Linked DNA regions of Danio rerio. The protein of the gene in region 2 interacts with the protein of the main gene of each other region in a pairwise test. Links are inferred from orthologs where the notes say so. Each region holds a gene or a part of one and is shown on either strand. Other genes may lie near its edges.

Region 1 (3,528 bases), on a different chromosome or scaffold from region 2:
TTAATAACTTAGGGCTGCACTGTGATCCATAATATGCCATCAAATGATTATTGTAGGGCGTCATGGTGGCACAGTGGGTAGCACAATCGCCTCACAACAAGCTACATCAGTTAGCATTTCTGTGTGGAGTTTGCATCTTCCCATTGTGTTCGCATTGGTTTCCCCCACAAGACATGCGGTATGAATTGGGTAGACTAAATTGTCCATAGTGTATGTGTGTAAATGCAAGAGTGTATGGGTGTTTCCCGGTATATGCTGGATAAGTTGGTGGTTCATTCCACTGTGGGGTCTCCAGATTGATAAAGGGATGAAGTTGGGAAAAAAAAAGAACATTTACTGAATATAACTAACAGGACTTTTTTGTGGCTGATATAAACTATTGTTGTCTTAAAAGTTGTAAATTTCTTTAGGTTAATTGTTTTTTAATAAGATTAAAATAAATCTGGACACATTAAAATACACAAAAGTCTTGCATTACACTTATTGTGTTGATGCATGAAACCCTTAAATTATTAATGGACCCATGTACACACTGAGGCAATGAAAGCTGAATAACAAAAAAAAAGTCTTAAGAAAAAATACTCAGGTTTATTGAAATAATGTGCCAAGGGAATACATAGTTCTCAAATAAAGTGAGATAGGCTTTTATAAACGGTTCCCTTGTATGTGAATACAACAAAGTGAGGGAATGATCGTGTCCTTGTCACTGAAAACAAGCTTGTTCAAACTTGTTCAATTTATAAAAGTGCTCCTGTCAGAAAACTCTGATGAAACTGCACCACAGCCGCTGTGCTGGAGGTGATTTAAATAACACCCATATCCTCCATCAAGACCAGAGAAACCTCCCTCTTTGATTCATCAGTTACAGTTGTAATCATCCCCAGGCTCTTCAGCGCAGTTTAAATGATTCTCCAGCTCCTGAATGACAGCTTCCCTTCCCATTTGGTCGTTTTTCCTCTTTTCCACGATCAGATCCTCTAAACTTTGAAAGTCCAAAACGTGACTTTTCTTCTCGGAGAGCTGCAGTTTCATCTTGTACGGCTGTTTACCGATGCGTATTTCGCCTCCGACTTTAAACTCGCGTTTTCCAAACCTGCACCAAGCGGCGAAGCACTCCGAGTTCTTCCAGCAAACGTCCCGCTCCTTCAAGCCCACCTGCTCCATGGCATTCTGGACCACCGCGTCCGAGCTCAGCGCGCGAAACTTATACAGCTCGTTCACGATTCTGCCCCTTTTACCTTGACTCGCGTCCAAAAGAAAGTCGCATTTGATCTCGTTTCTGTGCAAATGAACCACCTGTAGCTCGCCGACACACACCGCCCAGTGCGGGAACTGACCGATGGCCACGAACTCCACCAGGTCGCCGGCTTTGCACTTGTTCGCCAAGTTCTCGCGCGACAGCGTGCCCACTTCACCAAACCGACTATTCCGCTCGTATATGACCTCGTCGCGATAATACACGGCGCACTCCAGCTCGTTCCGGCAGTCGTAATGTTTGACATCTTCATTCTCCGTCTCGTCCATGTTCTCCTCCTGCTCGTCGTCATCGGCGGAGAAAATATAAGAGACGCCGATCCGCGGAGCGTCGTCCTCTGGGTCAAATCCATTAGGGTCAGCTGTCGGTAATTCATTGTAATTCAAGTGTGTGAGCTTCTCCACTTGATTCCCCATAACAGCGTCCGACACTCGTTCCGCGTCCCACCTGTACAGGTCGAGGAGATTTCAAAAACGCAACACGTAATCCGGCTTTGGAGCCCAGTTCAGGTCAAAGTCCATGTTTTCTGAATGTCCGCGAGGAGTATTTATGTAGCATATCGTACATTTGTCGAAATTGTTTGCCGGAGTTTAGATTATGTTGAGTTTCGGTCTGCGTTTTGAACAGGTGCGTCTCACCTGCTCACTTCCTGGTGCGAGCCGGGGACGGGGGAAGCCCATCCGACACTACAGCTGAAGTCCGACGGCGAGCGTCTCTTGTTGAGAAATGAGGGGGTTTGAAGAGTTATTTCCTCTGTTTGTGCGTGATGGACGGCGTCCGACACTCTTTGAAGTTCTGGCTGAGGCAGTAGCAGAGCTCTGTGTGAAATAGTAGCGGGCACGGGGATGTTTACACAAGGCACGGGCAGTTAAAGAGACAGCGCACATTTATGACTGCCAGATGATACATGGTCATTAAACTGAAAAATTAAACTCTGAGAGGCTAACGTTTAAATTATAGAGCATGAATTGTGACTACTTTTTTGATAAAATTATAAACATAGGACTTAAACTTATACAGTATTTATTTGTGTAAAGAGGTCAAATACTATAGCTGAGGAGACCTATCAAACAGTTTTATTGACTTGGCGTATCACGTGATATTTGAACTTTAAACTCATATGTTGACATTTTCAGGCAAGACATTATATTTAAAATGAGTGCAGATTAGCCTAGTTATTTATTACTTGGTTATACATTTGAACAATAAATATTGGGATGGCTCACAAAAGGTTAAAGAAAAACATTTCTGAAAAGGACTTGGTGATAAGAAGAGAGGAAAATGTGAAGAAGCATGTGGACAAATGAAATTACTCAAAGCGATATACTCCACTGAAGGTACACATTTTACAGTTTTTGCTTTACCTGGGAATCAACCCCACAACCTTGGCATTGCTAGTGCTATGCTCTACTTCTCTATATTATTCAATGTAGATGTTATAGTGAATCTTCATGAATTAAAAATAGCTGTGAGGGACACATCATTCAATGGAAAAGACTTTTTGTAAAAAAAAAAAAAAAAAAAAATCCCTCTGACAAGAATAAAAAAGATATGCTATAACAAATTAAGACAGTACCCCCAACTGAATGAACTGTACTTCTGAATTTCACAAGCCTTTTATCACTTGTATAAAATTGAGCATGGTGTCTACCCCAAATAAAGTCCATTACTGTGTTCTTCACATTGAATTTAGTGACAGCCTCTTCAGAGGCTCTCCCTGGAGGTACTTCAGCTTGTGATTTCCAGTCCGGGGCAGGAGGGTCTGAAAGCCACTGCTGTGTTTATAGTCCTGCGTTGTGGATTGGCAAACAGCAAGCCCCTGGCTGTCAGTCCATCAGCCCACTGCAGGGGCGTCTCATGCCCAGAAGCGTGTTTCAGCTCTTAATTACCTAACAGAACAGCTGGCCCACAAGTCTGCCATGTATTTGCTCACCTCAGCACGAGGACGTCTGCCTGTCGCCGTAAGGCATATCACCAGTTAAACCAGCTATAAACTGAGTGTCCATCTCCCAGCACCTCAGTAAAAAAATCCACAGCCTCCTGACAGTATCTTTAGACCAGACACATTTGGTTCTCTAATATTTTAGACTTGTATTATGTTGGATTTCTAGGTAGGTAGGAACACTATAGGTATTAAATCTTGTAAAACAGTATTGGTTTTGCTGTGTGAAAGCACACCAAAACAAGATATTTATAATTCACTGCATTGTACCAAAACACATAATTATTGAAATTGTCCATCCATCAGGTTTTAATAACCTGATGTTTTTAAG
Region 2 (3,835 bases):
AGCAAAGAGCAACAACGTAACAATTTTAATCCCTGTTTCGGAACAACTGAATGGATTTACAGGTATCATATGCCAATGTTTTTAGAAATAGATGGATTACAAAAAGAACTGCCATTTACTAAAACAGCCACTTGTAAAATTAGGCTGGAGGTATTTATTAAAGATTTTCTGAATTTCTATTGAATTTATAAGAGTTGTAATTTGTCGAACTTTGCTTGATACCGTCACAACATAGAACAGTTTTAGATTTGCTTCAAAAATACGCTGATGATTTTTTATACAGCCTTTGTCAATAACAAAGGCTATTTTCTATGGCAATAATATTTCATTATTAAATGTACAATTAAAAACAACAAACAAATTAATACATAAATTAAATAAGATTTTTAGTGTTAATAAATTACAAAACGTCTAACATTTCTCCTGGTGACACTTTGCTAAAAATGTGCTTACGAGTATTCATTTTATATATATATATATATATATATATATATATATATAAAAGCCTTCTGCAATCATTAAAAGCAGGGCAGCCCAGTAGAATATGTTTTACTGTAAGAGCAGTTGTGCAGAACAAACAGTAAGTAGGAGTCATCAAATTTAAGCAAAAACACATTAGTTATTCTCTTATATTTAATACAACATCTTGTAAAAATCACTTGATTAATTCTAGCCTTAAAATGTCTTAAAACTCTGAGGTTTGCTTCAAAAACATTTTTATTCTAAAATGTAATGACACAGCCGTTTTTATAGCAAGACATCCATGGAGGACAAAGAAATGCTTAACCATTTAACACATTTTTAATGATGACAATACTAATTATATAATTTTTTGTCATGCATGACAGTAAAAACACAACATTACATCAACAACCCATATGCTCAGTGGTGCTGACCTGTAATGTAAGCTCACAGCAAGCTTCAGGGGAACGACACGTCTCAAAGAAATCTTTCCCTGCCCGTGATTCCCTGAACTCTGTTGAATAGATAATCAAGCCAGTCAGAGATGAAAGGATGAACAGACTTACTTCATAATAAATAATCACACGTAGAACTGGCAGCGCTCATCAGCTACACAATATAACATTTCAGCATCGACAATAGTCACATCGATCACAGGACGTACAATGCTGAGATGGGATGGTAGTTGATCAAGCAATACAATTCAGAACATGTGACTTGTGGAGTCATTATAAAAAGTATTTGCAAATATGGACCATAATGGATTTTAATTTAAAGGCTTGTGATTGTGTAAGTATTTTAAGTTTTAAACTATTCGCACACAAGTAATTATATAATTTGTAGATTTGCCATTATTAATAGTATATCGTTATTTACACTATGAGGACCATACATTTTTATTTTATATTTGATTATTCAATTTCTGTACCTGAATGCTGTCATACTCATTTCATGTGTATCTTTGCTATATCGTGATCATCTATGCTTGTAAATTGTTTATTATATTTTATGCAAATGTACTCCAATAGAAAACCTTACAAAATAACAAATTCTTTACAAATAGAGCTATACAAGTCATCTGGTGAAATAGTATTCATATACTGCAATATACAGTTGAAGAGAAAATTAATAGCCCTCCTGTGAATATCTACTCTTTTTTTTTTTTTTTTTTTTTTTCCCCCCAAGTGATGTTTGCATTTCTAATACTACTATATTTTTTCATCTGAATAAAGTCTTACTTCTTTTAGTATTTCTGGAATAATAATAATAAAAAAAAGATCAATATTATAATTTGTTTTTTAATATTTATTTATTTATTTGACATGGACATCACAATTACATTGGACAACCAAATGCATTTGTTTAAGTGTTTAAGCAAACTTGCTAATTCTCAACACCTGTCCATAGGAGGCTTGAAAAAATTGGCAAAATGGAAATATAATAAAACATATACACAACATTATATTTCTTTACAGAAAATGACTGAAGCAAAAGCAAAGGAGACATGATCCAACAAACTAACAGTAGACTTGCTTGTGCAAACACTGCTGTTTTGTTTTAAACCACTTTTTTTAAGAGCACTACTAAAAATATTTAGATTTCTTTCTGATTTAAGGCTAACAGATAAATCTTTCCACAGTTTGGCTCCCTTTACAGAGAAGACAGATTGACCAAATGAGGTCTTACACTTTGGCACTAGACAGTCATAGATTTGATGCCTACGTACTAGATCAGAAAACAGCATTGGAACATGATTATTTAAACATTTAAAAACCAATTTAAGATAATTCAATTTAATATAACTATTAAAACTAAAAAGGTTATGTTTACATAAAACATCACATTGATGCCATCGCATAGGCTTTAAGTCCATAATTTTAACAACTTGTTTATATATTGAGTCACTAGGCGTTAATGTAGTTAAAGAGGCTTGTGACCAAGATGTAATGCAATATGTCAAGTGAGAGAATATCATTGTGTGCATGTATAATTTTGCAGTATGATATGTTAAAAACCTTCTAATAAAACGAAAACAGTTTAGACTTTGCTTAACTTTCTTACTCAGATTATCAGCCTCTTTAGAATTGTATTTATCCGATTGGCTACTGAACAAACTATTGGTATCCATTGAGTTGCCTACCTAACCTAACTTGTGAAATAACTAGTAAAATATGATGTACTGGCATCGTGGGAAAGACTAAAGAAATTGATCATTAGAGATCAGAGTTTAAAACTATTATGTTAAAAAATGTATTGGAAAAAAACTGTTAAAGAGCACTTAGAAATATTTGAAAAAAATAACTAAAATATCACAGGAGGGCTAATAATTTTGCCTTGAACTGTATTGCTGAAAAACAAAATATTATTTCTTTTAATATCATGCAGCCAAAGTTATTGTTACACACCTGGCAGGTAGCGTCCAGCCTGTCTCATACACCACACTGGAATGTGCTCGATCTCTTCTCCTCGCGCCGCTCTCAGGAATGTGTCATTCCTCAACTCTGGAAAGTCTTTTGGGCTGAGAGAAAATAATGCAATATTTAATTATTTATCAGACAACATTACATTTCTCCAGTGGTGAAGTGAGGCTAGATAAGGGTCAGGGTGAAACTGACCCATACAAATTGACAGCTCTTCTACACATCGTCACCTAAGAATTCTAAGGTTCTATCTGACATTTTTTTCAAAATTGAGTTATAAGATAATAAGATATATTCTTAATAAATGACAACTTATTTACATTATGGCATTAATTTTTGTTGTTTAAAACCTAAAACTTTTTCTTAAAAAAAACAAATGTTACACACATACTGTTTGCTATGGAATGTAAAAACTTTAAAGCTCAATGTCTCAAAATCATTCGGAACGCAGATAGATCCTTATAATTTCAAGGTGACAACAATAAATTACTACATGTACATGAAGAAAATCTGTGATCTTACTGACTTTACAGCTGTATTTCTATATTGTTTTGAATGGTACATGTAAGTGAAAGAGCTGTAAATTTGAGTGACTGACCCATTCAAGCGGTCCTGCTGTAAAACAGTCCCTGAATGATCTTTGCTCACAGTCTCTACACACCATACCTGAGGCGCAGATGTGAATAATCACGTAGAAAAAGGACAATCTTTATAAATTGAGATTTCTATATCAAGCTTTCCATGGATGCATGGTTTATTAGATAGGACAATATTTGGAACATGAGAAAAATAAATAAATAGAAATACTCTAAAAATTGCCTTTAAAGCTGTTCAAATTAAGTTTAGCAATACACATTACTTATTATAAAAAAAAGTTTATAAATATATATTTATGGAATGAAATTTACTTAATGTCTTCATGGAAAGTAATTTTTACTTTATATTATGGCGAT

The links.
Region 1: the proteins of urod (region 2) and lratd2b interact in binary tests that used the Homo sapiens proteins (3 or more experiments, as listed by UniProt). The two-hybrid records come from large-scale screens. The link is inferred for Danio rerio from reciprocal best matches to the Homo sapiens genes UROD and LRATD2.

Annotation. Positions count from the first base shown.
Region 1 is NC_133191.1:26,526,699-26,530,226, forward strand, and holds lratd2b (uncharacterized protein LOC550535), read right to left. Parts: upstream 2,008-3,528; 5' UTR 1,672-2,007; coding exon 859-1,671; 3' UTR 569-858; downstream 1-568.
Region 2 is NC_133177.1:30,909,255-30,913,089, forward strand, and holds part of urod (uroporphyrinogen decarboxylase), read right to left. Parts: intron 2,981-3,835; coding exon 2,868-2,980; intron 977-2,867; coding exon 897-976; intron 1-896. UniProt on the Homo sapiens protein: Catalyzes the sequential decarboxylation of the four acetate side chains of uroporphyrinogen to form coproporphyrinogen and participates in the fifth step in the heme biosynthetic pathway.